Linked DNA regions of Xenopus tropicalis. The protein of the gene in region 1 interacts with the protein of each later gene in a biochemical or structural test. Links are inferred from orthologs where the notes say so. Each region holds a gene or a part of one and is shown on either strand. Other genes may lie near its edges.

What was found.
Region 2: the proteins of jade1 (region 1) and kat7 form a complex in vitro, tested with the Homo sapiens proteins (2 studies listed by BioGRID). The link is inferred for Xenopus tropicalis from reciprocal best matches to the Homo sapiens genes JADE1 and KAT7.

The regions. Positions count from the first base shown.
Region 1 is NC_030677.2:64,096,270-64,100,646, forward strand, and holds the start of jade1 (protein Jade-1), read right to left. Parts: upstream 2,898-4,377; 5' UTR 2,683-2,897; intron 1-2,682.
Region 2 is NC_030686.2:14,519,285-14,523,108, reverse strand, and holds part of kat7 (histone acetyltransferase KAT7), read right to left. Parts: intron 3,814-3,824; coding exon 3,622-3,813; intron 3,248-3,621; coding exon 3,158-3,247; intron 3,064-3,157; coding exon 2,923-3,063; intron 2,211-2,922; coding exon 2,117-2,210; intron 1,343-2,116; coding exon 1,196-1,342; intron 1,104-1,195; coding exon 997-1,103; intron 386-996; coding exon 284-385; 3' UTR 1-283. UniProt on the Homo sapiens protein: Catalytic subunit of histone acetyltransferase HBO1 complexes, which specifically mediate acetylation of histone H3 at 'Lys-14' (H3K14ac), thereby regulating various processes, such as gene transcription, protein ubiquitination, immune regulation, stem cell pluripotent and self-renewal maintenance and embryonic development.

The DNA.
Region 1 (4,377 bases):
AAGATAAGTAATAAAAGTAACATTAATAATGCATTTGTAAGCTCACAGAGCAATCGTTTTTGGCTGTTGGGGTCAGTGACCCCCATTTCAAAACTGAAAGATATAGAAGTGGAAGGCAAATAATTTGAGAACTATAAAAAAAAATAAAGAAAGAAAGAACACCAATTGCAAAGTTGCTAGTAACAGGACATTCTATAACATACTAACAGTTACTGTAAACATAAACCACCCCTTTAAGATGAAACAAAAATTAATTAGTGAACAAGAATGGCACAATACAATACAAATTTCTGTTCTCACAATAATATTTTTTGCCAGTAAATTTAAATAATAATTTTATTTTTCCTAACATATTTTACCCAAAATGTTCAAGGGCATTTTCTAAAATAGTTTTTGCTAAATTTCATAAAAAATAAACTGCCTGCCATTCAAAGGGTTAAACATAAACTCCAAGACACATGGAGCGATTGTGGCGACTTTCCCGCCATAGGGTACTGCATAAGTCACTGCAACTAATTGCGTGCATTTTTTTTACAGCGTGGATTAGTCGCCATGATTTTTTGGCTAATTGCTGCGTGTGTCTTAGCCCTAAGGATTCTACAATGGAAGCAGTATGTTAGGAGCATTGAATGAGTTAAGTACCATGCACATTTACATGTTGTGTGTACAAGGGATCAAATGACATAGTCCATCCTTTACAGGAACGTCAGTAGGAGGGTGCATAACAAAGATTCTGACCAGGTGCTTTCTTTTTATGGATGAAGTCCAAAATGGGTGAAGTTTATTTGTGAAAGGTGATATAAAGTGACAGCTGGCCATGACACAGTGTCGTCGTAACCATGACGTGGGCACACAGCAGTAGCAGCAATGAATGAGACAAAAGCTTTTTCATATTTTTTTTTTTTTGTTTGTTAGTTTTTAAACAATCTTAACTTTATGCTCCAGAACTTACTTTCAATTTCTAGAATGTTTTGCAACAAGATGTGAGTGGTGTATTTTTGTTATTTTGGTATTTCAGCACATAAACAACTTATAGCACAGTAGCACACATGCAGTCACTCATTATAGGTTAGACAAGCTACAATATTCTGGGCCATATAAGCTGCAATATCCCCAGGCCATATCATTTCAACCACAATCTAGTCAATTAAGCAATCGCCCTGTCTAGGCCACAGCTGTTTTTAGCACAGTGATGCCAGACCCGCAGAGTAACTTATGACTCACCCATGGAGGTCGGTCTCTGTAAAACCGTTACATGGCACAAAGCCATGTCACAGATCTAAAGAGCAACCAACACGTGTGAAAAGTATGCTTGTGCAAGGGTTACTGATACGTGCACCAGGGTTTATGATGACTGGCCTTGCTGCCTAACCATTTGCCACGGCAACAAGAAATAAATATGTGCATATATATTTGTATTATTTTAGTTGCAATTACACTTCTGCATGTTAAGCTGCAACTCTGACTTGCAATAAGTGTTTTGGGTTAGTGGTTTTATTTAGAGGGACTTGTAAAATCATGTCATAATTTTAACAGTTTTCATACATGAACAAAAGGCATACAAGTGTCCATGAGACAAAGTGTTTTATTTGATAGTAAGGCTCTAAATCCTTTTTGTGCAAGCATGCATACATTAGTAAGAAGTGCGCTAACAGGAGATCTCAAAAGTGCCAAAACACATTCATTTCCCTACAAGTGGATGCCATACTCAATCCATGTCCCTCTAAGATGCGTTTCTGTACACTTAGGGGCCCATTCATTAAAGTACTAATCCGAATCACGAAATCCGATCATTTCTGATGATCGCAAATTTCCCGAAATTTTTTTCCGTCTGAATACGAAAATTTCATACTTACAATCCAAAATTTTCGTATTGAAACAATTGTTTGCAAAAGGCACGAAATTGTCGTATCCGAACGATCGTAAACAGCAGGAAACCCTTTCTGACTTTGAAACTTCAATGCATGATTTTGGAAGCCTCCAATAGGACTCAATGGAGGAAAGTCACGATACAGAAGTTTGAATAAATCCGAAACTTTCGTACTCGTTGCAACAAATACGATTTTGTCGCGTAAATTGTCACACAGTACTAAAAAAGTTGCATAAAATATGCACAGTTCAAAAACTTAGAAAAAATAAAACAATTTTGTATTCGGACTGAACCCTTATACTGGCTTATATCCAGTAAAAGCCACCAAATGCACATACCCCTTTAGCCTGTTGCCAAAGATAATGATCCACTTGGGTTCTATATTACACACACTGGGAAGTGTAGTACAAATTTGGAATGCAGAACCCTGAACAATTTTTGAAAGGAACCACACAAGTTTCCTTCCCATTGGTAAAGAACGCTGGGAGCTATAGTTTACAAATAAATAGACAAGCTGAAGTTGAAGATCTTGGCCCTAACGCATGATACATTTCTATCATTCTGGATCCATCCCCCCTATGCGAACGTTTTGGCCGCACTCCTACTTCTGTGTGCCCAAATCACAGAGGACAAAACTGGCCTAAACACTAATACAAATGCCATGATGTTGGCAAAAATTGATTCAAAGTAACAAGTTCTACACCAGTGTCAATGGATTTACCCATGAGTCATGCCAAAGCTGATCAGAAAGTTGCATTATTAAAATACTAATAATAAAAATGTAGGCTGCGATGTGCAAATGCCTCACTCACCATGGAGCCCATGAAACCACTGAAATAATTGTGAAAGTATTAATCCTGCAAGCCCACCAACTCTTGTTGCACAAGATTCCACATTAGTAGTTTTACTCCAGCCTGAGCCTGAGCCCTGCCTGTACAACATCCCTGCCCCATATGCCGCACATTGCAGCAGCAGCAGCATGGGATGTACGCAGCGGGTTACATAAGTTTCTGCGCTGCCTGCAGGCATCCATACTATCGGCTAATTAACCATAAGGATTAGATAAATGGCTAGTTACTGAAGGATGAGCTTACAGTCCTACATAGAGGGACACCTAATGGCAGGTCTTAGAACACCGGCCGTGAGTCCATTAACCCGGACCTACCACACCGCGGCCACGTTTCCTAGAAGTATCGCTCGGAGCAGGGACACCTTGCGGCACTGTCACACAGTCACACAGACACATACACACACAGACACACTCACAAGTGAGAAGCAACGCGCCCTCTCAGGCGGCTCATGATGCTGACACAGCAGCGCGCATTCACACCGATGTTTCGGGCCGCCGGGGCACACAAATGGTGTACGTGCGCTTGGCATATATATAAAGCTGGCAAAAGTTGCCACTATCGCCCCATACAAACTATAGGAACCGCGTACACACCCACCCAGCAGCCTAACAACTCGCTACCCAACAAGCCCCGAGCCCCCCGCTAACATTAGCAACAAGCAAATCTTTTGGCGCCATATTAATGACGTACTCGATTATTTTCCACTAGGCAGCAGCGACCTTGGCAGTGTTCAAACCACCCGGGCTCGCCCCCAACTCGCTGAAAAGCCCACACAGGCGTGCAACAAGCCTGTTAACGTGGAGTCCGCCCTCCCCGCACTCTACTTGCTTGACTCTTACCTGCTCGGGTATTCCTGGCTACCTCCGCCGGGCTCGTATAACGTGTCCCCCCCCCGCAACCAGATGGGTGATCCTGTGCTCGTAAGGTTCAGCCCAGCGGCTGTGGTACTGAGGGTAAGGGGGGGGGGACAGATTGTGTCTCCTCTCACACACATGCACTCTGTGACTGACGTTATTTACTTGTTATGGAGGAAGGACTCTGTGAATCAAACTCATTTCTGGGTCACTGCTGCCACAGGGGGGAGCACTTTGATCTTCTGCCAAAACAGAAAGGAAAAATACAGGGCAGTGGAGGGAAGTGATGTTTCCTAACTGTTCTAGAACCTGTCACATATTGCAAAGTTAACACATTGAGGTACTTCGCAACCTTAACTTTTTTTTGGAGGGTATGACCACATTATGCGTCAAACTTTGTGCCAATGCTGTTTGTATTCAACATGGTATAATGTATTGCATGGGAATGTGCAAATGGATAGTGTTATGCACATTATGTCGCACATTTACTTACGAACGGGCCGAATGCGTCCGATTGCGTTTTTTTTCGTAGTGATCTGTATTTGGCGATTTTTCGGAAAATTGTCGCAACTTTTACATTGCCATTCCGAATGTTGCGCAAAATCTGCCGATTTTTTCGTAGCGTTACTACTTGCGCAAAAAGTCGCGACTTTTTCATAGCCTTCGCGCCGAGTACTAAAGATTCGGATTCATTCAAGCTTCAGTATGGTGACTTTTCTTGGGCCAGGTTGGAGCTGCAGGGTGCCATTGAGTCCTATGGGAGGCTTCCAAAATCATGCTAAGTCTGAAAGTTTCGCCCGCC
Region 2 (3,824 bases), on another chromosome or scaffold:
GCTTGTTGCTATGCCAGCTTGACTGTGGCGTGGAACCCACTGGGGTGATGCTGGAGTTAAGGAGAAGTGGAAGGCATCCAATGTGGAGCAAATTACCAGGATGATAAGCAGAGCGAGCGGGTGTAACTTTCCAGGGAAATTACAGAACAATGCCCTACGTGACACACAAATGCTTATAATGCAGCAAGCGGGAGAAAGCTGGAGCTTCCATCCCAAGATAGAAAGTGTGCATAACGAACAGATGGGAGAATGGTAATAAATGAGAGTCATGGCAACATTAGGTTTAAGTTCCTTTAGGAGGTGTCCATTTTAGACAGCTAGGGTCCATTGTTTTATTGCTGTTGGTTCTCTTTGCGTCTTTGGATGCCCATTCATCAATCAGATCCTGTGTGGTTTTAGAAAAAAAAACAAACAAACAAAAAATCAACTTAGGATTACTGTGTAAGATTCTGCAATAACATAACTTAATAGAACTGATTAGGAAATACCCACAAAACATGTACTGTAATGATTCTGGTGGATTCGGATATCTATAAGCTGCTCGCAAAATGTCCAGACAATTCTCTATGTAAAAGTAAGGAACTATGATCGCCTAGAAGCAGCCAGGATTTTTGACTGCCCGGGCAGGTAATGTAAGTAACACCAGGGACCCAAGATTGTATGAGGCCCAAGAAGTTGTGTAATGCAGGTTAATAAGTCTCAGAAGGCCTATCAAGTACCCGATAGTGGCCATGATGACTACTGTATGTTCCTCTATATTATATAGGTAACAATCAGGAGTACTGTACACTATATTGATATTAGACGTTATTTAATGACCATATGAAGGCAGGCCAAGTGCTTTTATACAAGTCACAGAACTATAGTGACTCCTTCTAAGGGTCTGACATGACTGAGCACATTTTATCCAATTATATCTTACCGCTTATCCTTGGGCTCCTGCATATTAGGATCTATCTTCTATGTGAAGGGAACAAGAACTTATAGTAGTTTTACCTGTCTCTTTAACACCAAGTGTTTCCCCTTCCAGTACTTGAGCATCTGTAGGGCCTGCAAGGTGCTAACTATATCCACTGGATTCACTGCGGTCTCCTGGCTTATCTCTGGAAGAGGAAGGAAGGAGGAAATGGTCATTATGCCACAAAATATTCTCCCTCTGCACAATGACTTGTTCTAGAGCAACAGTAGAACACACCTTTGATGGAAATCTCTTTGCCTTGAAAATTGTGCAAGTAGCGGAGCAGAACTTCTTTCCAGTAGCTGCGGTAGCTGATGAGACCAAGGTCAGAGAGAGGCCGCTCCGGTGAACCCACTTTGTCTTCCACCTTAGACAGCAAGTAACCTGTGGGCAGAACAGAGGCACTTTATATGCAATTACTTTATATTACCTGCTGACTGAGAGTTAAAGGAACTGTAACACAATTTTTTTACATTCAAAATATCCCTTCTATATACTTTCATTATCAAATATATCATACAAAAATTTCAACAGCAGTAGTAGTTTTTCTTAGAAATCTTACTTTAGCACTGATTTATAGAGAGCAGGCAGCAGTTCTCGCACCACACTTCCGTTCCGCTCCCCCCTCCACCCCCCCTCCCTCTTCATGCAGGCACACACAGCGCTACTTCAAACAGCGATGCAGACTTATCTGTAAAGAAGAAACGGTACGTCTCTAATCCCCTCTCCTCTCCCCAACTGCTAATAGCCCATAAATCACACAAAACGGACTCTGAAGAATGCAGCATTTAACTTCCGGATTAAACCGGAAGTCGCCGTATCGCCTTTTCAAGCTCTGCACAGTAAGGCATTGGTAATGTAATTTATTTTGAAACCATGTAGAATATTCAATTTTTTTAAATGCTACATATCTTAATAAAGTATTTAGAAGGGATATGTCAAAAGTTATTTTTTTGTGTTACTGTTCCTTTAATATGTAGCAATCCATATAGAAAAGTCCACATTAAAATTAAGTCACACTGAAAAAAAGGCTGCTGGGGAAGAGATTAGCAGCTTGTGAATTCAATTTAGATGTGGTGTCTGGCAAAGAGTGAGGCAACGAGGTCTTGAAGTTTATGCAGAGTAATGGAAAGTAATGCATGGAAACAGAATACTTACTAAAGTCTATCAGCATCTTGCCATAACCCTGTCTCATGTACTGTGGCATTGTCAGGATACAAGACACATTGTAGTTGAGGAAGGAGTTCTTCTCCTAGGGAAAAAATAATTTATTGGATACAAATTAAACAACCAGACTGATTTTCATGTTATTTTTCCCACAATCAACAAGCAATATGTGCACATAGGTATCAGCATTGTACAGGTATGGGATCTGTTATCCGGAAACCCGTTATGCAGAAAGTTACTAATTACAGGAAGGCCATCTACCATAGACTCCATTATAAGCAAATAATTCTAATTTTTAAAAATGATTTACTTTTTCTCTGTAATAATAAAACAGTACCTTGTGCATTATCCCAACTATGATACAAATAATCTTTATTGAACTATCCTATTGGGTTTATTTAATGTTTAAATAATCTTTTAGTAGACAAGGTATGGAGATCCAAATTACGTAAAGATCCCTTATCTGGAAAACCCCAGGTCCCGAGCATTCTAGATAATGGCTCCCATACCTGTATATGCATTTAAACCCATCTGTATATATGCATTTGTTAGTGTGTTAATTCATAACGTGACTGTTATATTTGCTTAACAGGCACAATATATTTCAACACTCACATCAGTCAGATCTGTCATGCAGAGTCTACATAAGAGAATTTTAAACAGCCACCATTTCTTAGGCTAAATTATAACAGGGCCTCACGTGGAGCCAACTAAGAACTCCAAGCACATTTATTCAACCCAGCTTTGTTTTATTGTGTGACCCAACAACAGCCACAGCCATGCTTATAGAGGGATACCTTGGAAAAGTAGCCAATAAGGTGACAGCCAGTGTTGTCTCCCTCGGTCATGACATAGAAGAGGAATGGTTCCACATCGTAGTATAGTGTTTTATGGTCCAGGAAAAGTTTTGCAAGAAGGCACAGATTCTGGCAATATATCTGTAATTGGAGAGAAGGTTTAATGGCACTGTGTTTTACATTACCAGGGATCAACTGAGGCTTGCGCATTCGTCGAAGAATCTCGCAAACTTACCTTATTCTTTTTTCCGTCTACTTCAAAGACGGAGATGGAGCCTTTACGATAAATCTCATCCCCTGGTGGATGCTTCCAAACACATTTAGCCTAGAAGGAGATATATTGATAGGAAGGTTACACATTAAAAAGGTTCTCACTTACAACAGAGTTACTGAAGGTAGATTTGAGCTTAGGAATGTGAGACTGGAGCAAAATGAACTGCGAACACCAAGAAACCTGCATTTAACCACACACACAAGTTGACTGTATGTATACACCATTTAGCAAATGTTCTTTATATTTTTAGTTTATGCGAACAGGCTTATTTGCAGCCCTACATGATACGATCACAATGCTGCAGTCGGGCAGAAGAGCATTTTGAGGGCTAGGGCCAAATACGTAAGAAGAACTAGATATTGTGGACTACTACAGACTGGCTACAAGTGTTAAATTTACTAAAGCAGGAATGTGTTCTGACTTACCATGTGTCTGCGAAGGATCGTCTGGCTCTTCATATACTTGAGACAGAATTCACACATATACAGTCGCCCCAGGCGGGCATACTCCTCAGGGTAAGGAGAATGATACCACGTATCTAGTTCATATCGACCAAAGATTATTGTTTTAATCATGTTGCTTCCTTCTGTGATCTGGCCCTGAAGTCTTAGCTTCTCCTTAATACAAA